3 linked regions of the Diceros bicornis minor genome follow. The protein of the gene in region 2 interacts with the protein of the main gene of each other region in a pairwise test. Links are inferred from orthologs where the notes say so. Each region holds a gene or a part of one and is shown on either strand. Other genes may lie near its edges.

Evidence for each region.
Region 1: the proteins of SF1 (region 2) and DDX17 interact in binary tests that used the Homo sapiens proteins (3 or more experiments, as listed by UniProt). The link is inferred for Diceros bicornis minor from reciprocal best matches to the Homo sapiens genes SF1 and DDX17.
Region 3: the proteins of SF1 (region 2) and FAM168A interact in binary tests that used the Homo sapiens proteins (3 or more experiments, as listed by UniProt). The two-hybrid records come from large-scale screens. The link is inferred for Diceros bicornis minor from reciprocal best matches to the Homo sapiens genes SF1 and FAM168A.

Annotation. Positions count from the first base shown.
Region 1 is NC_080764.1:11,437,648-11,445,710, forward strand, and holds the start of DDX17 (probable ATP-dependent RNA helicase DDX17), read left to right. Parts: upstream 1-5,014; 5' UTR 5,015-5,175; coding exon 5,176-5,225; intron 5,226-8,063. UniProt on the Homo sapiens protein: As an RNA helicase, unwinds RNA and alters RNA structures through ATP binding and hydrolysis.
Region 2 is NC_080770.1:8,309,184-8,317,245, reverse strand, and holds the start of SF1 (splicing factor 1), read right to left. Parts: upstream 3,036-8,062; 5' UTR 2,718-3,035; coding exon 2,366-2,717; intron 1,020-2,365; coding exon 891-1,019; intron 1-890. UniProt on the Homo sapiens protein: Necessary for the ATP-dependent first step of spliceosome assembly. Binds to the intron branch point sequence (BPS) 5'-UACUAAC-3' of the pre-mRNA. May act as transcription repressor.
Region 3 is NC_080746.1:57,260,731-57,268,697, reverse strand, and holds the start of FAM168A (protein FAM168A), read right to left. Parts: upstream 3,025-7,967; 5' UTR 2,645-3,024; intron 1-2,644.

The sequences.
Region 1 (8,063 bases), on a different chromosome or scaffold from region 2:
CTCTGCCTTCCTTCTACCCAGTTACAATCTGAACCACCCCCAGATCAGAGGGGGTGTGTGTGTGTGTGTGTGTGTGTGTGTGCGCGCATGTGTGTAGGTTTGCTGTCCTTGTTTGGCACAGTCCTTCCTCAGAGATAGCCCTAAGGCTAGTTGGTTTTCCTCCAAGTATATGCAAACTATATTTCGCCTCTGTGATCAAAATTATGTAAATACTACAGCTTTCCTTCTCATTATATAATATCTTAGAGACACCAGTTGCTGTTTAATTGACCTATCGATGTTTTCACTGTCTTTGTCCTTATATTCTGATTTTTGGTGCCAGCCTGTTTTTCTTCACATTATTAAGTCTCTGGGTTTCTAAAGTACAATTCACTGTAACATAATTATATACTTTGCGGTCAGTTCTCCTCCTTTCCATTCTATTCATCAGCAGGATATTGCCGACTTTCCTCTCTGACTCTCCACTCAGCTCCATATCTAATAAATACCCCTGTATCTGTCTGAAGAACACAGAGGAATCTATTAAAAAACACGAACCCACCCCTCTAACTCTTGCTCAAGGAATTTGGTCTCAATTTTAGTGTATACCTACTCCCTCCCCTCCAGCCTATGAAGGCTTTTTCCTCTTTATGTTTGTCAAAAGCAACCCCAATCACCTGTTCTTCAGGAAAGAAGAAAGACTTGTTTGTGTTCCCCAGCAGGAACCAGGAATCTAAAGAAAATTACATCCCTGTGCCTTTCAATCTACTGAAATATCTCGGAATTTTCTCTTTGGACGGAGAACCAGTTACCTCATATGTGGCTACGTCCCCACAGACAATCTCTCTTCTCAACTGGCATCCATCTTGAAGTGGAACTCAGTACTCCATGGCATCTTAATGGCACCTCCATTAAACAAACACCCTCTACTAAGCACTAATGAGCATTACTGCTTTTATTGAAGGTAAAATCATTACCTTATTGGCTCCTCCCCCACATCCCCCATGCAAAGCTTTTTGACTTTATTTGGCTTCTCGGATTTTGCACTCCCATACCCATCATTTAATACTGTCTTTAAATTTATTTATATGCAACAGACCAAAGAGCCTTCAGCTACTATGATCCCTTGACTTAGAAGTCTGCTAAAGAATTATAACAATTTTTTCATCACCAAAAATATTTTTCTTGTCCCGCCCTAATTAGAAAGGTCCATTTGCTGAGGCAAAGGGCAGGGTGGATTTATCCTGTGTTCCAAAAAATAAGTGCCAAGCATTTGTGTATGTGAGTGTAGTATTTGTCACACCTTGTTAATTATAAACCCCCTCTTCTCATTTAGAGTCTTTAACATGCATTAACACTGTTAATCTCTAGGACTGTGAGTCATTCTGTCTCTTTAATAAATTCTGTTTCATCCCTAGTGAGCTGACTGTGTAGTCTGAACTCTTTTCTTCCTCAGCTTGCTTGTGTGCCGTGTGTTGAGGGGAGGAAGTGAACAGCTGCCCCCATTATCTAAAAAGAGATCAGAAAGAATATCGTTTTCCTTGGGTTAATCAAGTGATTAATGCCTCTAAGTGCCAGAGTACAGGAGATCACTTCCCTAAGGTTCCAAGGCAGGGAGGAGGCAGAAGTGGACCTTGAGTTTTTCTATTTGCATGCACTGAGAGGGATTAACAAAAATCACAGAAATTGTGGGGGGGGGGAAGTGGGTGAAGAATAGAGAATAGAGATTTGCCAAAGCAGGAGGGTGGTAAGAGGTTGGGGCCAGAATTTGGAAGGCCTTAAATGTCAGACTGTGGAGCTACAGTTTGGTCTTTAGGTCACGGGAGCCACAGAAAGTTTTTAAGCAAGAGACACAGAATAGCAAAATTGAAAAACACTCAGTGAGGGTGGGATTCTTCTATGTCTCTCTAATACAGAAGTCACTAACACACACATTCAGAGTCAATAACTAACACTCTGGGCCTGAATGTCTACCTGGCAACAACTGGCTGGACAATGAGGCACCCACTTGAGAAGGAGCATGGCTCTCCAGCGCCCTCAGGCCCTACTTGGTCTGGGTTCACCTTTTAAAATTAGTGGTCTTCAAATATTCCCCCCTAAGAAAATTCTGAAAACATATTTTAGGTTCTGGATGTACCACAGTTTATCCATTCACCTATTGAAGGACATCTTGGTTGCTTCCAAGTTTGGGCAATTATGAATAAAACTGCTACAAACATTCTTGTGCAGGTTTTTGTGTGGAAATAAGTTGTCAAATCTTTTGGGAAATCTCAAGGAGTGTGATTGCTGGATTGCATAGTACGGTAAGGTATGGTTAGATTTTCCAAAAAAAGGATGAATTGAGCAAAGTATATTTTCATTTTCACCAACGGTCTTGGCTGTTACTAATGAAATTCCTAGGTTCTCCAACCTCCCTAATGAAACTGTTTCTCTGTGTTTAGAAAAAATGTAATAAGCTTCAACCATCTTCAGCAGGAAAACAGAGATTAGATCAAGAATGAGAATGCATACTATGGATTTACTTTATAATCAGAAACTTGTCTGCCAGAGGAAGACTCAAAGTTCCCTTTTTCTGGAAGGCAGGATTAATCAAATAATGACAACTATATAATTACATACTGTGAAAAGCTTTATGAAGACAAAGGAGCTATGAGTTGCTGTAAGACAGGGACATGATCTAGTAGCAAAATATGAATTATTTCCCCCTGGCAAAATGTAGGGAGGGTTTCAGTGGACTTACCTTACTTTATAAATTATTTATTGTTATATAGAGAGCCTCAGATTTAATTACTTAGCATATATGATAAATAGGCAAACCAGTCCAAATAACTCCCTCAGTTCCTGTACAGTCTAAAACACAGTAGGAGCTTAATTGTTGGCCAACTCCTACAAGATTCATCCTTGACACTTCTTTCTTTCCTATCCCACCCATCAGCAAATCATTGGCTCAATTTTCAATCAGACCATTTCTCCTTTACTGGTTGCTGTTAACCCAAACCAAGCCCCATCATCTCTTGCCTGGATTACTGCACTAGCCTCCCAATTAATCTGCCTGCTTCTGCCCTAGCTCACTCTCAATTTAATTCTCCACACTGTAGTCGTAGAGGTCCTTTTATTATGTCAGTCTGCTTAAAACCTTCTAGAGATTTCCAATTTACTGAAAGGAAAATACAAAGTCCTTACATTGGCCTACAAGCCCTTCTTATTTCTGGCCTTCTCCCATCTTTCCTCCTACCTCTACTCCAGCCACATTCTGCCACAGGGCCTTTGCACTTGCTCTTTCCGCTATGTAAACAAGGCTAGCTCCTTCACTTGAGGTCTCTGCTCAGATGTCACTTGATCAGGGAGGCCTTCCTATGACACCCTGTTTAACACTATGTAACAGGCATACTTCCCTCCCACGCAGGCACACATACACTCTCTGTCCCTTTTCTCTGCTTTACTTTTCTTTCTTTTTATCTTAGTTAGCAACTGCCTAACATAAACATTTATTGTCTATCTCCCCCACTAGAGCGTAAACTCCACGAGTGCAGGAACTCATTTGTTCACTGCTGTGCCCCAGTTCCCAGCCCACTGCTCCATCCCTTAGGCCGTCAACACTTGTCCAATGAATCCCACGGCCCATCTGCCTCTTTCGGCCCAAGAGACATCTGAACAGCCTGTCCTGAAGCTCTACTCCCTATGCTACTTTTGCAGTAATTTGGGAAACAGAACAGAGCGGAAGACACCACTTGGCCCCCACGACGAGGGGCCTCAAGTGTCCCCCCTTCTATCCATCTGTAGAAATAAATAAAAGAGATGTCAAACGAGCGCTCTCCAAGGGCCCTCGCGGCTCGAGGATTCCGTGAGGCCACCTAGCCACGCCTGTGGGACTTCACAGTGCAGTGGGAGGGGAAGCAGCAGGCGCGGAGAAGAGCCAGCTTCGACGAACTGAGAGAGAACGCGGCCTAGCCTGCTCACAAACACGTCCTCAGGCCTTCACCTTTTCTGAGGCCCACCGCTTGGACGCCTCCGCTTCGGGAGAGCGCTAAGGGCCTCCACGGGCCTCCTGAGGCAGCGCCGGCTAATGGCGGCCAAAGGACCGCGGCGGCCACCGTAAGTGGGGCTTCACCCACATTTTGGTTCTTTGTTAGCCAACTGTGCTCAGCCGAGGACAGGGTAAACATTCTGTTCAGAAAATGCACTTCTGTGTGAACCAACTGCAGCAAAGAGTGCTTTAACTCAGCGGGGACGTCGCCGCCTGACCAACTCCCGAAAGAACCGACATGGCGCATCCATCATGGCTGCCGGCGACAGCGCGCCGGGAGGCAACTGAAAGGAAATGGCGCCGGGCGCGCGGTCAGTTTCGGCAGGCCCAGGGCGGCGGGGCCGAAGAGCCGGCAAGGCCATGGAGGAGCGCCAGCCAGAGACCCTGAAGACCCTCCTGGACTTTCGGCACCTGGAGACCCTGAAACTTGACGACGGCAAGATGGACGACAGTTATTGTCTATGCAAACAAACTTGCACAAGCGGACCCGGATTCCGGCCCGCGGTCGGAACCCGGCAAAATCCTCTATTCTCCAAACAGAATGCGTTACGCACACTGCGCATCTTCGCAATAGTGGGCCGGCTAACGACGCAAAGAATGTTACGTCGCACCGGAGGCTCTTCACCGCCCCCCCACCCACCACCACGTTCTAGTTCAGGTGGCGCGAGAACTCTACGCTCGATCCGTACTTTGTTTTACTTCTGCCGGCCGCAAAATGCGCCCACCTCCGCAACTGACGTAAAATGCCTTCAAGAATACCCGTAGTACTCCGCGAAGCCCTCGGACTGTTCCGAGACGCTGTTTACGTATCGCCTCCGACGTACGTAGCGTTAAGCTGGAGCAGTCTCAGCGCCGGCCGCCATTTTGTGCAGTCGCTGGGAGGGAAGGAGACGCCTAAACCGCGGCAGTGCCGGGTTTGAGCGTAGCCAAACCTAGCCACTGTTTTTATAACCCCGATTCTCTGTGTTTTGCTCCCGTCTCCGACGAGAGAGGCGGCGACGGTGGCGTCTGCGACGGGAGACAGCGCGTCGGAGCGAGAGAGCGCCGCGCCTGCCGCCGCCCCAACAGCGGAGGCGCCGCCGCCATCGGTCGTCACCAGACCGGAGCCGCAGGCCCTCCCGAGCCCGGCCATCCGTGCCCCGCTCCCAGATCTCTATCCATTTGGGACCATGCGCGGAGGCGGCTTTGGGGACCGGGACCGGGATCGTGACCGTGGAGGGTAAGGGGGGAGGAGAGGAGAGGCTCCGCGTGTGCGTGGGGCGCGGGGGGCTGCTTCCTGAGGAGACCGCAGCCTGCAGCCGAGCCGGAGGCTTTGAGCGCCTGCAGGCCTGGGAGCGACGCTCTCGACTCCGCAGGCGGGGCCACCCGAGGCATAATAGCGGGGTCGAGCGCGGGCCTCGGGGTGGGCCTGGGCCCCAGGGTCGCTGATGACCTGGCGGGGGGCGGCGGCTTGGCGACGCCCCGGCCCCTCCTTGCGGACGGCCGTCGTGGCGCGGCCCCGCGGGAGCGGGAGGGGGTGACCGCCGCACCCCCGGCCCGGCCCTTGCCTCGGTTCCGGCCGAGCCGCTTGATTCCCCAGGCCTCGGCGTTCATCTGGAGCACGGGGGTTCGCGGTGAGAGAAGAGCGTGGGGTCTCCGCGGTCGGCCTAGGCAATCTGAACGCGAAATGGCCTCCCTGGTGTTATCTGTCGCCCGAGATAGCTGTGCCTGGAATTGGAAACCTGGTTTGCAACTAGAGACCAGAAGGCTGACTTGTGGTTTTAAAAGTATTTTCTATCACTTTTAGTCGTATTTTAACAAATTAGAAGCAAGCATCTTGGAAAGTAAACAGTGAAATTATTTGCCATCTAAATTTGGGGAGAGGGGTTTTTTTGGTTTGGTCGTTAGTGTAGGTTGTTTTTTTTGTTTTTTTTTTTTAACCTTTCAGTCTTTTGTTTCCCTAATTGGACTGGAGCATTATCTTCTCAGCCTAACTAGAAAGTGTTTCGTTTAGTAATGCCGTGGTTACTGGGTTGGATGTTAACAGGATTAAAACTGAAGTTCTCTCAGATCCTGAGATTCAAATCTTAATGTCGGGTTAGACGAAAAAGTTGCTTAAGAGATCCATGTTGATTTGTGCTGTTACTTTTTTGTAATAAAAGTTGTATCTCTAGATAAAAAGTAATGTGATGCCGTTTGAATATATATGTAACCTCAGGCAAGATCCTGAACCTTTGTGTGCCTATTTTCTCATCTGAAGGTGGGGATAATAATTGCCCTTACTTTGCATTGTTGTGGGGAATTGAGATACGGTGTGTAATTGTCTTTCTGTAGTAGGTGTTCTTTAATATTTTCTCCAAACATTTTTGGTTTTGGGGGTTCAGATACACAAGTACCAGACCTTGTAGTCACAGGCACCTCACCTTCACTTAATTTAAAAAATAAAAAAGATTGTTTTGAATTATACCTTGTTAGGAAGGAAAATGTTTGATCTTAATGTTAAATTTGGAGGGCTAGAAGTGGAATGTTTGCTTAGTGTTTCACAGTAATAGCTAAGTTTAGAAGTGAATTTCAGTATAAACGCTTAGGAAAAAGAACTTAACATTATCTGATAGAGGTGAAAATGACCCAGTAATTCCTCTCTCAAGCTTTGTACTCTAGACTGTAAGGCCTAGAGAAACCCATGTACACGTGCTCCGATGTCTGTGTGCAAAATAATGTTTATACCCCATTGTTCATGATAGAATATTGGTAACAGCTTAAATGTCTGGACAAATTGTGGATATTTGTACAGTAGAATACAATACAGCGGTGAAAAAGAAAAAAAACTTGTATCAGTGTGGGTGACTCACAAACATAATATTGAGCAAAACAAGTTGTGGTAGAAGCATAACGTGTATAAGGATACCTACAAATATGACAAGACTATGAGAAGCAAGGGAATGGTTAAAATTTCAAGATAGTTATGGTGGGGGTTGTAAATGGAATAGGCACATGGAGGCTACCAGGGTACTGGTAATGTTCTGTGTCTTTAACCATAGGTGTTTGGTTCATTTCACTGTATGTATACTTTAATAATAAAAATAAATTAGAAAAGGGGAAAAAGTGAATTACTGATCCATAGTTTGTCCCATATTGATTCTTTGAGTATCAAATGATGTTTAAAAAAAAAAAAGCTTTAAAAATAATTCATTTCAAACAAAGTGGCACTCTTTCATAAGGTCTGTGCTCTAACTACCTTTATCATGAAATTTCCTTTATGGTTTGAGTTGCTGTTGTTTCATTCTTAACTGAATGTTCTTAAGTGAAGTGGACTATTATTTTGAAAAGAGAATGAGTGAGGTCACTATATGTACACTTACAGTCCAAAAATGGTGTGCATTGTACCTTTAAACTAGCGTGATTTTGCATGTTAATATATAAATCTTCAAAGTTGCATTTTATTTTTTTATTGAAATATAATTGACATTAGTTTCAGGTGTATAATATTATGATTGAATATTTGTATACATTGAGAAGCGATCGCCACAGTAACTGTAGTTACCATTCGTTACTATACAAAGTTATAAAACTTTTTTCTTGTGAAGAGAACTTTTAAAATCTACTCAGCTTTTTCGAATATACAATACGATATTATTGACTGTAGTCACCATGCTGTACATTACATCCCCATGACTTATTTCAAAGCTGCATTTATGGCATAGTCAAACTTAATTCTTGATAAAAACAGTTAATGAGCAGCATAGTGTGCCAGGGATTAGGATATGTGCATCTTTAAAGGATGGCACAGATGTGCTCAAAAATTCTACAAGAGTAAAAGGCTCTCTTGAATATTGAAGGCAGCATTAATCGTAAAGGTAGAAGACAGCATATTTATAAAGACCCCCATGTTTCAAATTATATCTTTATAATAGAGTAGGAAGATATGTCTTGGACAGTTAGCCAAGACAATAGAGAGAAAGGAAAAACATTTTTTTTCTTTTAAATAGAGGCTTTGAATAAGCCTTAAAAGGAACCTTACTTTAAGAAGTTTAATTCGTTTACGGTCTGGGTAGGATTGGAGTGCAGCAGCATTTAA
Region 2 (8,062 bases):
CCCAAAGGGGACGTTTACTTGGTTAGTAGGAAATGCTTATCAAGTGAATTTTTGAGACAGCTGCACAGGTACGTAAATAAAGGTAAAACTTACATTAAAAACCTTGTATTTTAAAAAAAGGTAATTTTAAGGTTAACTTCGGATTCCACTGTGGACAGCCATTCTTAATTCCTGAAATTTCCCAACAGTTAAGATTTTTATCCTACCACTTCATTCCATTTCCAAGCAGTATCCATTTCCCAGCAGAGTTCTTTAATAGTAAATACAAGAGCCCTCATTTTAAGACAGCTCTCCAAAGACCAAAACAGAAAAGATGCTGAAGGGAAGGTTAGATTCAACCAAATGGTAAAAGGGGGTGAACTGTAAACACACTTTCAGAACCACTTTTTGATTAAACTGAGGTTTTTTTTTTCCCTTCAGAAAGTACCTATAAAAAGTAAAAAATCACGTTTTAGGGGGAGGGAGAAATATGAAATTATGGTGAGAGGCCATGCTGTGAAAAAGGTTCTTGGTTTACAATACTTGCAGTGTTCTCCACTGGGGCCATGTCCAGAGAGGCATAAGACACTCACCTCATCAACTGGCAGTGAGCAGCAGCTGAAAAGGATGGGGTGGGCTGTGGACTGGGGACTAGTGTTACCCTAAATGGGCCCCTCTACCTTCCTGGCACTCATGGAGAACACTGCTGTTATGAACAGACCAAACAAGGAGCTGCAAGTGCAGGACTCACTGAGCAAAAACTGACGAATTATGTCAAAGAAAGTACACCTGACCACACCTCATCTCAAAAAAGAAAACTTCACAATCTCAGGCTTGCAACAGATAAAAACACTGCTCAGAATAAACAGTAACAACCCGAAAATGCATCTGGATGCAGAACGTGTATTTACCTATATAAGCTCTTTCTTGTTCCCGAGTAAGTCCAGGGGGGATAACTGTAGGCATTCCTGGAATCACTGTCTTTTGTTCCATTGTGTCCTGGTTCCAGCGGCTCCTCTTCCGCTTCTTACTCGGGAAGTCTAAAGGGAGATACAGACCATGAGACACAAACATAAATCAACACAGTAACTACCAACACGTAGTTCAGGATACTTATAACGTTACAAGTTCAGCAGGCTCTGAAACTGAGAACTTGACCTAAAACTTAAATGGCAAAGTACACAAGTCAAACCTGAGACACACACCACTATAAGCAGACCTGGACCTGGGTCCAAAAGGTTAACATTTCACATTTATAATTTTTGTCCAGAAAAACGCTGTAAAGTATGTAAACAAATCTTATCGCATAATTTCCGATAGTGAAATAAAATGTTTCGAAGACATACGCTACATCATGCCTTAAAAGCCCCAGGGGAGACAAGAGTAGATTGAATCACCACAGGCAAGTTCGTAAAGCAACATCGGCAGACTGCTGGCTCCTCCCACCTCCACCTCCCCACCAGCAACCTTTCTAAATGGGCCACAACACAACTAAACCTACGGTTACTAAGTGAAAAAGCCCCACTCTTCAATAACATCACTTATTTTCTTAAGTTTAGCGCAGATAAGCAATTTTCCTGGCCAGTTTGGAAACTTTGTGTCTGAACTCCTCGTTCAACAGGGAACAAGCGATGCAATAGTAACAAAATCCTCCTTCCCCCATACATAGGCAGAAACTCCCTACACATCTGGTGCACAAAAGTCGTTCTACTTCCCGAGAGGAAAGCCCCAGCAACTACGAGGAGGAGGCGGACCAGACTTGTCTAAGGGAAATGAAAGGAGATCAGAACGAAACACAGGAGTCCCTCCCTAAAAAACGGCCACAAAAGATCGGACCAACCACTCCCTGAAGACTTCCATCCTCTCTCGTTCTCCGCACTGAAATCCCTGCCTTACTGTAAAAGACGGACTATTTTTAACACTTTCCTTCTTTTCTGCCTCCTCTACAGCCAGAAAGGAGATGTTCCACGTCATCACTTGACCCTTTCACTCCCTGCTGACATGCACCCCCAGCACCCCGTCCACCCACTCGACCCTCTCCACACCGCTCCCCTACACCAGCGGCTGGAGAGCAACAAGGCCCGTCCCCCCCCCGCCGCCGCCGCTTTTAGTCGGGCCCGCAAAGCCTAAGCAGCCACATTGCGCATGCGCACAGCAAACGTCCGCCCGCCCTGTGCCCCCTCCTCCCGAGCGCGTGCGCACTCGTGGCCCGAGCCCCAGGCCGCGCGCCCCGTGGCGCCTCCGCCCGGGCCTCCCCGTGCGTGCGCGCGCGCGCCCCTGCCGCGTGCAACAGCAGCCGCCGCCGTCGCCGCCGCCGCCGCGCGCGCCCCTCAGCCGGCCGGGCCCGTCCGCGCGACGCCTCTCGCGCTCTCTCGGCCCGACTCACCTCCTCCGCCGCCGGCCGGGCCCGGCTGCTGGTTCTGACGCGGCGGCTGCGGCGGCGACACGCGCTGGTAGAGCGGCGGCGGGTACGCGGAGCCCGGGGAAGGCGGCGGCGGCGGCTGCTGGGGCGGCGGGGGGGGCGGCGGCGGCGGCAGTGCCGCGAAGGGGAAGGCCGCGGTCAGGGCCCCCGCCGAGCCCACGGGCCGGCGCGGCGGCGGCCCGGGCACCAGCAGCCCCGCCCCAGGCCCGGGGGCAGGCGGGGGCCCCGGCTCGAAGCCCCCTTGGGGCGCGGGGACGGGAGGGAGGCCGGGGGGGCCCAGCTTACCCAGCGGCGTGGCGTTCGCTCCGGTCGCCATGGCGCCCCCAGGGACCGGCACCGGCGGCTCCTTCTCGGCGGCTCCTTCGCGAATCTTCCGGGGGGAGGAGACCCGACTGCGCTGCCGCGGAGCGCGCGGAGTCCGTCCTCTCACGCGGCGGGCGGCGGCGGCGGCGCGAGACGCACAAAGAGGGAGGAGAGAGGGCGCCGCGGGGGCGGGCCGGGGGCGGCGGGGCCGGGGCCTGGATTGGGCCGGGCCGAGGCGAGGGGGTCGGAGTCGGCGCCCTCCGATTGGCGGAGCCTTAGTCCTCCTCGCTGCACCCTGGGATTGGCCGGACCGTTAGGCCAGGCGAGGAAATGGCGGCCGAGCCCGGCCAGCGGGGAGGTGTCGCAGCGCGCACTTCATTTGTTACTGCGCGGACTAAGCTCGGAGGCCAGAAAGGAGGGGAGAGGGCGGGCAAACTCTGTGACGTCGGGACCAAGCGCGCTCTCATTGGCTGCAGTGGATAGAGTCAACCATGCTCAGTTGCGTCGTAGTGTCATGGGATTGGCTGTCGCTGGTTGGATCCTTTTTCTACACCCCTCCCCCGGGGAGCACTTTCGCTGGGATTAAGCGAGAGGTCGCGGCGGAAAAGCCCTGGCCGAACGAGATTTAGGGCGGGGGAGGAGTCGAGTCGGAGCGCGCATGCGTAGTTGGGTCAGCACCGCCTCTCCGCCCCTAGCTTCACGGTCGACCCCCGGTCCGGCACGGAAGCGCCAAGTGACGTCAATCCTCGATTGCCATGGTAACCCGGAACCGGCGAGGGGGGAGGGGCTGGCGCGCGCCCGTGAAGCGGGTCCGTTGACGCCGCAGGTAAAAGGGACTTCCTGTTTTCTTTGAAAAGGATAAGAACTGAAGGAAAAAACCTATAGTCTTATTGAAGGATTAAAAACGATATCTGAGCCGATGGAAGAACGCGTAATCTTAGGCGGAAAACAATATAAAGTGTCAATTCCAAGATTAGTTCACAATGTATTTCCATTAAAATCTTATCGAGGTTGAGGTTAAATCATCTCAAAATCATATAAAATAATAACTATGAAAGTCGTGGAGAAACTTGTACACACAGTTGAGGAGGAGCTTGCCTTTCTGGATAATGCAGAATAAAAGACGCAGTAAACAAACAATGTGATGCAGGAAAGATTAGCACAACTGAATAGAGGACGGAAATAGATTCCCCGTATATATGTAGGAATACCACAAAGATGGTGTTTCAGTTCAGTAAGGAAAAGATTCAGTTGGTAAATGGTAACAGTCCTAAATCTAAATAAAACAGACGTGGAATACAATTTAGGAGACTATCGGGGTCATCTAGGGGTAGAGACTTTATGAAGACAAGTGTAGGGAAGGAAAAATTTTTCTTCTACCCTTCTTGGTTGTCTGGCTGATCTGATCAAGTTAACAGGACACATTAACAGGAGAAAAACAATTATAATTATGTAAGGTGGGAGAATATGATACCCAAAGAAGTGTCCAAAGTGCACAGCTGTTATACCTTTTAGACAAAGAAACAGTAAATCTGTGAAGAATTAACAAGACAAAGAAGTCTGGGCTTGGGGTAGTAAATTAGTAAAGAAGTAACAAGGTTTGTTTATATAGCCTTCTCTGCCCTTAATTCTCTATCTCTAGTGATAAGGATGTCTCTCTACCTCCTGGTACAGGGAGGGTACATTTCACATGGGAGATTTATTTCCTACTTTCAGGGGGCAAAGGAAGGTCAGCATGTCCTTCTTGGCACTGGCTGCCTCTTAAGTAACAATTCAAAATAATCAATATGCCAAAGTGGTATATTTTGGGGTGGCCTGTCCTGAACCCCAACACAGGAAATCCAAACTATAAGGAAGAGATATACTTGATTACCAAAGAAACTAAAACTGTGATAAAAGCCAACGGACAGTAATATATCAGGGAAATATGCTTGCCACATGTACAATAAAGAGCTAATATCTATAATATGCAAAGAAGTCTTAAAAACTAATTAGAAAAAAGACAAAAACAATAGGAAATGAGCAAAGGCTATGAATAGGCGAGTCTCGGAAGAGCAAATGCAAATAGCCAAAAAATATGAAAGGATACCAACCCCCCAAGAAGGGAAATGGAAAATTAGGTGATAATGAGGACTCTATATAACCATCAAAATCGCAAAAAACAAATGCACTCACACTGACTACTGTGAACATTTTTGGAAAGCATTCTGTTTCTATTAAAATTGTACCCCTTTCAGGAAAAATAAAAAAACCTTTTCAATGTAGCAGTCCCACTCGTGGGACTCTGCCCTAAGGCAAGGCGTGTGGTTATATAATATAACGTGTTCAAGGTTGTCTCCTGCATTTACTGCAGCTTTGTAATGGCAAAAACCTGGAAACAGTGAATTTCCATTGATATGTGAATGGTCAAACAAACTGGAATATCCATAACCTGGCTTATTAGGCACCTTGAAAAGGAGTTAATCCATACTAACTGACCTAGAGGGACTTCTGTGCTGTATTATTATTAAATGAGAAAAGAAGCAGAGAAATATGTATTACATGATCTTGTTTTTGTAGAAGAAACAAAGCCCATATATGTGCATGCTTGTTTGCGTAGGATTATGTGAGTGCAGAGAAAGCTGTGGAAGGATACATGGCACATTATCAGTGAAGACATTGCAGAGGGAAACGGGTGCCTGGACGTTATCCAATACAGTTTAGGAGCCCAACATATTTTATAAATGTGCTTCAGGGGCCTACCTGGTGGTGTAGTGGTTAAGTTCACACGCTCCGCTTCCATGGCTCAGGGTTTGTGGGTTCAGATCCCGGGCACAGACATACACACTGCTCGTCAAGCCATGCTGTGGCAGTGTCCCGTATAAAGTAGAAGATTGACACAGATGTTAGCTCAGGGCCAATCTTCCTTACCAAAAAAAAAAAAAAAAAAAGTGCCTCATACTTTTTAAAAATGTGTGACATGGTCCCATTTATAACAACATTATATATAACTGTATAGATATAAAGAAATGCATTGACAGGACAATCACCAAATTTCCGATGGTAAGGGGATCTCAGATAATTTTTACTTTTTTTCCGCCCATTTCTATTTATTCTAATTTTTTACACTGAGCAAGTGTTATTTATATACCAAATATTAAGCTAATATTGTAGACAAGAAAGGAAAAATATAAAATGTTTAAATCATCTGTTTGAAGGAAAAATTAATTTATTCAGTAAATACGACAAATTCTATGGAGGCAGGAAGAAAAGAGTCATCCAATGTTTGAGCAGCTACTGAGTGCAGACCAGCTTGGTGGCTACCACCGTAAATGAAATTCGGTTCCTGCCTTCCAGAGAATCGTAGTCTAGCAAAGGAGAAAGACAAATGCACGAAGAGAAATGTACTGTTAATGCTAATAATGACACCTCCGTACTAATAATGGTGAAGGCTGCAGCTGGGACTGTCTCAGGGGGCAGGCATTGTCACTGCTTTGTAGTCATTTCAGTTTAATCTCTTTTATCCAGGATTTTGTGGGAGTATTTTTTAATCACCAAGTTAAAATATTTTGGTCATCTTTTTATTATTAATTCCTATTTTTGTTAGATTTTGCAGAAGATGGCCTTAAAAATCTCTACTTTTTCAAAAAAGTACGATTTTCTTTGTGGTTAAATATATGATCAATTTTTGTAACTGTTCCAAGGACAAATTAATGGCTGGAGAGTTCGGATGTTGGCTGCTCCAGGCTCTGTTCTGAGTTCTTGTACACGTAGTAGCTCATTTCACCCACACAACTTTTGGAGATGAGTATTCTCTCTAATTTATAGATGAGAAAACTGAGCCACAAAAAGCTGAACTACCCACGGCAAGGTCTCACAGTCTGCCAGGATAGTCTGCTGGTGCAAGACTCCTCTGTGGACAGAACAGGGTTGGAATGCAGACCGTGCTGCTCTCTGGCTGAGGACCACTGAGCCAACTTCCCATTTTTGAGGCAAGTTGCAGTCCTATGGGGCCAGCCATCCTCCAGCTGGCAGCTAGGGAAGGCATTTAATCTCTCCATGCCTCAGTTGGTCTGTAGAAGACTAATATTAACGCTAGTCTGCAGGGTACTGTGCTGATTCAATGAGATGAGAGGGCACGTTGGTTTTAACGGGGCATCTCCTGAGCTGCAGGCGCAAGAATTACACACAGATATCAGATGCAGATGCCTCCTGATCTTATACAAGGGTGCGGTACAATAAAAAATATATGTCTGGTCTTTGTCCGCAGATCCTGGCACAGAGCTTCAGAAACCCTTGGGATTTCCTAAGCGATAGGAGTGTCTTTCATTTTTCCTGAGGAGCTCCTCTGGCCCATACCTGAGGTTAGCTAACAGGGTGACTCATTGCCAGCTCTGAGGGCCCAGTGACAGCTTCAGGATGCTGGCTGGTCACCAGAAAAACCAGCCAACTTTCAGCCCCACCCCCCACTTCAGGGGCTGGAGATTGCATTCAGTCACACGGCCAGTGATTTAATCAACAGTGCCTGTGTAATAAAACCTCAATAAAAACTCTGAACTGTGAGATTCGGAGAGCTTCCGGGTTGGTGAACATATTGATGTGACAGGAGGGTGGTGTCCCCTGACTCCACAGGGACAGAAGCTCCTGGGCTCAGGACCCTTTCAGACCTTGCTGCCCTCTGCCTCTCCTCATCTAGCTGTTTATTTGTATCCTTTATATTAAAACGGTAAGCATAATATAGCACTTTCCTGAGTTCTGTGTTTCATTCTGGCGAATTATTGAACATGAGGGGAGTTGTGGGAACCTCCGAATTTGTAGCTAAGTTGGACAGAGGTGTGGGTAACCTGGAGACAAGACCCAGGACTTGTGGCTGAATTCCTTAACCTGTGGGGTCTGCCGACTCAGGGTGGTTGGTGTCAGAATCAAATTGAACTGTAGGACATCCAGTTGGTGTCAGAGAATTGGTGTTGGAATGTAAAGGGGGAGAGGTTTCAGCCCCTTCCTGCTAATCCCTGGCGGTTTTCATCTTGTAACTCTACCTCTGATAGTTCAGAAGCCCCAAGCCGCAGGCAAGATTGAGAGGTCGTGTCACCCAGCTAGCTGAGACTGGAGGGAGCAGATCCGTGGTTGTCTGCTCAGTGTCCCGCCTTTGGAGAGCCCCGCACGTGACTCCATTGCCCAAATTAGGAATAATGATATCTTCTATGGAGTGAGCACCTGGGATGCACCAAGTACTTTTCATAATTTTGTTTTTCCTGGAAAACCAGCTTTAGTTACAGCTTCTTATTAAAGGTAATTTGAACTAGGGGGAGATGGGTAGTGGAATTTGTGGAATTAGATACAAATTAGAAATAATAGATATGTGCAAATCACACATCT
Region 3 (7,967 bases), on a different chromosome or scaffold from region 2:
TTATTGTAATACAGAAAGCTTCCTCATAACAAAACACTTTCAATTCCAAGGATAAGTCCAACCTTCCATCATTCTGCCCATTTGGGAACTATAAAAAAAAAAAATTCTAAATATTGGGTATTTTTATGTGCTCAACTGTGAAAGCCAAGGAAAGTGGTTTGTTTATGAGCTCAACTCTGAAGCTTGAACAAAAATAGAATTATTTTGATCCTACTGGTGCCAATGTTATCCTCTTTATATCCCTCCCCAATTTTTCTCAGTCTGAGCTCTAATCAACAGCCACTTCATGTTTAACATATCATAGTTAATCTAATTGAGTCTCGAAAACTGTTTCCCTACAGATGTTTCCTCTGTTCACACCCCTCTCTACCTTCCAGCATCACCATTCTGCCATGAGAATGAGCATATCAATAAGCTTTAAACAAAATTTCTGATGAATAGATGGAGATATTGTTTCTGTAGTTAATGCAATGTGCCTACATCAACATCATCCCCTAAAAAAATTAAAAAATGATTCTATATGCTTTATTTATCCACATCTGACAGAATTCTGACCACCTGAATTATTTTCAAAGAAAATTCAATCTACAGAAATACAGTCCAATTACTTTAAATCTTATCAAAGAGAATCAAATGAAAAACTCCATCAATACCAAACCATCTCACCAATGAATATTTATGACATTTCCATATTTCCTGTTTTCTCTCTGTTTACATAAAGCGATGGTGCCAAGATTCATCTCAGGATTATTAGCCTGCAATACAATGATGGGCCTAATTGCCTTGCAAACCAGGACACCAATAAATGGAGTCTTTAAGCAATCAATTTTAAGAGGAGGAAAAAAAAAAAGCCCTAAGCTCTTTCTGCACACATGCACGTTGCCTGACTAGGAAATAAATTCAGCCTCATATTTTTCAGTCTCATTCATCGGTTCTCAAGCAAGGCATGCTCCCTTAACTACCTCAAGCTCATCAAATCTATTTAACTCCAAATTCCAGAACTAATTTTTAAATGCACCAGCAAGAGGGCAGAAAGGAGAAGCTAGAGACATCACAGAGAAAGATATCTATCACATTCCAGCTTCATCTTCCCCACCTTTAGTTTAGGAGTGGGAAAGTTTAAAAAAAAAACTTTCTTTTTATGATATACGAATGAAAGAAGACACCCTCCCCTCCTTAATTCTACCTTAACTGCAGCCACTCTGAACTTTACCCTTTACCCTTTGATTTACTTCCGAATATGATACTAATATAAATGAAACAAACAAAAAGATTAAACTAACAGCCAAAGACGTCCTCTAGGAATCTTCAACGTACCTTCTCTCCCCTGCAGTCCCCTCTGTTACCGCCCCTCCCCCAACCACAGCCTCCAGAGCTGTCCATTTAAGTCCAACCTCCAACCCTCTTGTATCTCATGGAGGCCACCCCAATCCACCCTCTCCAGAATCATCCAATCCACCTCTTCCCAGCACTGCTCACTGTCCCTCTCCATCTTCTCTGCCCCATCCATACCAACAACTCCATGTCTCCCACCCCTTAAATAGCCTCTCTGCCACTTCACCATTAGCAACCACCTCTCCAGTCCCACCAGTTCATCTCAGACATTCCTTCTCCAAAACTCCCGCTGCCACCTTAGCCAAGGAACATTTGCTTCAAGATCCCATCCCCCAACCTTTCTCACCACCTGCCACTAGTCTTTCAGTGAGTCCAGCGCAGTGGCATCTTCTGTGCCCTCTGCCTTGACCCTGCATCCAGGGAGTGCCATGCCCCTTCCCATGGTTCTACGATCACTCTAAATCCCATCTCACTGAGCCCTCTCCCCCAGTTTCAATCCTTGTCTGCCCATTTTGGGCCTAACTTCTAATTTACCCCCCTCCTGCCAGCTCACCATCATGCTCCCCTCATTGAAAGTCCCACCCCTGCCAGCTCCTGTTCCAACCTCCATAAGCACTCCCTAGGAAAACCCCAAATTCTGCCTCCTTTGCTCTCCTAACCCACGCTATTCCATAAGTCCCCACAAATTCCACCACCACCAAATGGCAAACGCCCACTTCAAGCTCAGGTCTCAACCCATGCCAAGCCCTTTACCCCCAGCTCCTACCACCTCTATTAGCCCGCCCCGGGTCCACCCCAAATTCCACCCGACTGAATTAACACCCTCCAGGGTCCTAACCAACCCCGCAAGCCCACTCTCTATTGAAATCACCCCTCTACCGCGCGTCCAGCTCGGATCCCAAGCTGTCAACTGCTCCAGGCCAACCCCAAATCCACCACCCTCATTCAGTCCCCTCCCCCATTAAAAGCCATCCCACTCCAGTCTCATCATCCATCTCACACAAAACCATCCCAAATTCCACCCCGACCCCCCCAACCCCACGCTCCTGTCCCAGCTCCGGTCATTCCCCATTGAAAGTCCCCTTCCCCTGTCCCCCCCCAAACCTGCTTGGGTCCCACCCTCACCCCACCCCCAGCCCGCGCCTGGACAAGTATCCCCTGCCAGCGCGCCGTTCCACCGCGACCTCAACCCCCTTCCGCCAACCCGCGTGGGGGCTCTGCAGCCCCCACTCTCATTCTCCCCAGCACCACCCGCCCCGGCTCAGAGAGAGCGGACCGGGGGTGGGGGGCGGGGAGGGGGTCTCCTCACCGACGAGCCGCTGTAGGCGAAAACGGCGGCGGCGGCGGCTGAGGCGGCGATGCCCTTGTCTTCTCTGGAGGCTACTGAGGCGACGCTCTCGCTCCCTCGCCCGTGTCCAGTAAGGTGGCGGATGGCGCGCAGGGACCGGGAGCCTCCTCCTTCTCAGCGACTCGGCTCTGAATCCTCTGCAGTAGCCGCCGAGGAGCCCGACGGGTGGGGGAGGGGGCGCTCGGCTGCGGGTGAGGGAGGAGGAGACGGAGGGAGGGGGCGGGGGACCGCCGAGAAGGGAGGGGAAGGAGGAGCCGGCGCGGCGCCACGACACGTCCCACAGCCTCAGCACCCCGGGACCACAACTCCCGGCATGCCCTGCTCCTGCCCGCGCGCGGCCTGCGCCTCTAGCCGCGCGCCCAGTGCGCAGGGGCCGCGCCCTTCCTGGTCGCGGACAATGGAAGAAAGCCAACCATCCGCAGGCTGCTTTTGTAGACTCAAAGACCACCTGTGAGGGAAGTTAGGTCGCCCCGCGGCCCCATACCCAAGTGGTGATGTTCGCAGCGTCTCCAACCTTTACACGCGCGCGCGCGCACGCACACCCACACGCACACCCACATAGTCGCAGCCCTCTGGACTACGTTTCCCAGCATGCCCCATAGCCTCTCACTCTCCTTCCGGCCCTTCTTAGACCTGGTACTACAGTTCCCAGGGAGTGCGGTCCCCGCGAAATGCTGGGAGATGAAGTTCTCAGTTCTTCCTCCATGTTAAGAAAAAGAAATGAAAGAGAGGAAAAAAGGAAGGAATATGCCAACCCACTGAGGACAGGCCTAAATGGACTAGATCACCTGTGAGTCTGTACTGTCTTCGCCATTCCCGTTGCGACTGTCTCACACCAGAACTAATGCAGCAGCTTCCTCCTGGTCTCCCTGCAAATCTGAGGACGATTTGGCAATTTGAATCCAAATGTAAAAAGGGCATACTTCTTGACCCAGTTCCGTTATTTTTAAGAGTTTACCTTAAAAAGATAAACAATTTGGAAAAGATGAATGCACAAGGTTGTTATATGAGGTTGTTAAGGTTGTTATATGAGGTTGTTGTTATGGGGGGAAAACATAAATCTTCATCAATAGGGGGCTGGTTAAATTACATATTCAATCAATGCAATACTAAGCAGCCGTTTAAAATAATGATAGAGATCTAGTTATTGACAGGAAAAGCTATTCACAATTTATTCTCGAGGGGAAAAATTGATTACAGAACAGCACGTTGAGAACGGTCCAATTTATGTGAAGTTTGAGACAATATTCTATAAACATAAAGAGATTTGAGAAAAGAGCTTCCTCAAAATATTCTCTGTGATTATGTTGGAGTAAAGGGTGTCAGATTTCAAGTAATTTTTATTTTCATATTGCCTGAATTGTTTAAAGGAAGCACATAATTTTTTAAGCTATAAGACTACTTTCAAAAAATATAATTTCCAGGGGCCGACCCTGTGGCGTAGTGGTTGAGCTCCTGCGTTCAGCTTCCGCAGCCAGGGGTTCGCCAGTGAGGCTCCTGGGCGTGGACCTGCTCACAGCTCACCAAGCCATGCAGAGGTGGCGTCCCATATAGAAGAGCCACAGCTCTACAACTATGAAACACAACTATGTACTGGGGCTTCAGGGAGAAAAAAGAAAAAAAAAACAAAAAGAGGAAGATTGGCAGCAGATGTTAGTGCTTCCTCAAAAAAAAATATATATATATAATATATATATATGTATATATAAAATATCCAAATCCAACAACCTTTCTGCTGCCTAAAAGCTCTCTGTGGCTTCCTGTTGCCCTTGGTGATGCTCCAGGACTAAGCCCTTCTGATTTTTCTGTGAGCTCAACAGTTCCCCTATTAAAACAAATAATGATGGTCACTTACAATTCATGAAAGAACATTAAGTTAGTAGGGAAGATTTTCTCAATTTTCGTTGTCTCTTCTCAAATTTTTCCTTGTTCTGATCTTTCCACACCTGATTCCTCCTTTTCTCCTACTCATTCTTGAAACTCAAACCAAAGTCCTACCTTCCCTAGAACATATTTTAAGCACACTGATTTTCCTTATATCTAAATTCTTAGAGCAATGGTTTCTAATCTGTGGGCCAGAGATCACTTTGGGGAAGGGGAGTGAACAGGAAGGAACAAAGTTATTGTGAAAGGTCTACAAAGGTCTACTTAAACAAAGCATTGTCTATAGACTGAATAAATAAGTCTTACGCTTAAAAGATTTTTTTCCTTCTTTTGTGTCCAGCTCTCCTAGAATATGGAATATAGTATTAGATGATCTCTGATTTAGCATAAATCCTGTATTCAGTTACAGTATTTAGATTTTATGTCATTATTTCTTTTTTTTAAATCCTTTTTTTTCCCCCCAAAGCCCTAGTAGATAGTTGTATGTCATAGCTGCACATCCTTCTAGTTGCTGTACGTGGGACACGGCCTCAGCATGGCCGGAGAAGTGGTGCAACGGTGCGCGCCCGGGATCCGAACCCGGGTCGCCAGCAGCGAGCGCGCGGACTTAACCACTAAGCCACGGGGCCGGCCCTACATGTCATTATTTCTTGGTGTTCTGCAAGAAACACCAGAACATGCCAGCTCCATTAGCCAGCCCACTGGAGAACTGCAGGCCTACTGGAGAAAGCCCAGGTTGCCTGGATCAGAGGTTAAGTTGGTAGACAGTCCTGCTGCAGCCAATCACTTCAGCTTCACCCCACCTAAATCTAGTAACACGCTTAGCCGTTGACTCACTTTCCCCAAATACATCAGGCACTGTCTTTTTCAAACTGCCTATCTTGTTTTTCATCCTATTCTCCCAGCCTTAAAATCCCAGCACCTCCCCCCCACAGAAAAAATCCTAGCCCTTTTGCCCCCGTTTCTGAGAATAGTAAGAAAAGTGCCTATGACATGTTGGCTGTGTCCTTTCCCCTCTCTGAGTGTTGCATTGGCCATCCCTTCTTCTAACCCTCTCCCCTCCTTCTCCTCCTCCTTTTCCTCACTTCTACTGGCAGAAAGTGGGGGCTGGGTGGTCAAAATTAGAAGGGGTCTGGTCTGTCCAGCAAGTAAAGCATTATCTGAGCTAGGGGAATAAGTATGAGGAAGCTTACCAGGCTAGGAATCTGGAAATCAGATCCTAAGTTAGACCTTGCCTTGAACATGCTGGGTGACTTTTAGTAAGTCCCTTAACTTTTCTGAACCTCAGTGTTTATATCTGTAAAATGGAAGGAATAATTCCTAACCTGTCACCTCATAAGGTTATTAGGAGAATCCAATAAAACTATGGGTATGAAAGTGCTGTGAAGACTGTAAAGTGTCACTTACAGTCCAAACCCTTCATCTAATGTGAGAATTCTTTCTCCAAATCCCTGCCAAATCTTGGCATGTAAACTTTTTACTCAGAGTTATATTATTACTAATGAATTTATTAAAGTATTTAAGGAATTAACTCCATTACGTCAATTCAGTTCCTTGATAAATTTTCTATATAACACAGTTAAACAATTTCTAACTTTTCTAGATTTTTTTCTATATTGAATTTTCCTCAAGATATATTCTTTTGTCTATCAATTTTCCAAGAAAGATTTAATTTATCAGTTACCTTTTATCTTTATCAATGTTTACTGATTATTGCTTCAGCTGTTATGAAATTTCTAGTCATTATTTCCATCAAGTCTACCTTTTCCTGGGAGCATTTTGAGCCATTGTCAGTTTTATTTTGTGTTGATTACTTCTACCAAGTGGAATTTTCCGGGGGGTCAACTTTGCAATGTTCAATGTTTACCAACAAAGATGGGATCATTCAGTTTGCTTTTCCATCCATAATATATTTTTACCATGTGTAGTTTTAGCCATTGTCAGTTTTATTTTGTGTTGATTATTTCTACCACAACCAATTTTTTTTCTGCAACCCAACCAAAACAAGCTCGGGGTGGAAATGACAGTGTCAAAACACTATCCTTTGCCTGTTACTATCTGATTAACTTGGACTGTGAAATGCTTTTGTCCTAGCTATGTTAATGAGCTGGCCTTGAGCTCTCTCTCTCAGAGTTTCTCTTTAGGAGCCTTGGGACACATGTGTGGGCTGGAGTATTACTTTAAGAATTGCTTTAGAATTACAGGAAAATGGACATTAGAGACCATGTTAGGAGAACCAATCTTTAATGAGCCAGGTGCTGTGCTGGTGTCTAAGATCCATTATCTCATTTAATCCTTCAGCCTACACTGCCTTCACATGCGCATTTTATCACAGAGGAAGTTGAGACCCAGAGAGAGGAAGAGTTGGCCAAGTTAGGGTCAGAAACCAGACCCTGGTTTAATTCTCAGTTAGTGCAATTTGAATGATTGTATGTTCCAAAGTTATCTAATTTAATTTTTAAACTTTTGTAATCATCTTGTTGGAAAATTAAAGTATAATTTTTTTTTTATAATTTTATTTATTTATTTATTTCCCCCCAAAGCCCCAGTAGGTAGTTGTATGTCATAGCTGCACATCCTTCTAGTTGCTGTATGTGGGACGCGGCCTCAGCATGGCCGGAGAGGCGGTGCGTCGGTGTGCGCCCGGGATCCGAACCCGGGTCGCCAGTAGCGGAGCACACGCACTTAACCGCTAAGCCACGGGGCCGACCCTAAAGTATAATTTTTTAATTTAGCTAAGATATAAAACAAGAGAAATACTCATGAATATAAACAAAGCATTCTCAAAGAGATTTTTGTGACAGCAAATGAGGCAAGGAGTGTGAAAATGTTTTGTAAATGACCCAAACCTGGGAAAATGGAAGTTACTGCCATTTGTGACAAAGTGTGTTATATAAACCTGTGTGCCAGCTTGACAGAGTGCTAGAAAACTAACAAAACACACTAACGTCCAATAGATGGGTATCAAATGCCCATCCTAATATTTAATTCTAATAGCCAATATTAAAGGAATAAGATTGCATCCTGCGTACCCTTTAAGACCTAATTCGGACATCAGGAAACCTCTCCTGACCCCGGTTAGGTTAGGAGCCCACTCACTCCCATAGCCTGCTCACACTCTGTGTTCACTATCTGTTTACTGCCCTCAAGGACAAGGACCAAGGTGGTCTGGCTCATCTCCGTGGCCCTGAGCTGGTTCACCTGGAGCTTCTCACAGGGTAAGGTTTCCGTAATCAACCAATCAACCAATTAACATGACAAGTATATAGACTATATAGACAACCATTTAAAGTGACAAGGGAAATATCTCAATAAAGCTGGGAAAAAAAAATTTTAACGACAAAGGGAAGAGTGCACGTTAAATAAAGTTAAGGGCAAAAGTAAATCACAAATGAATCTT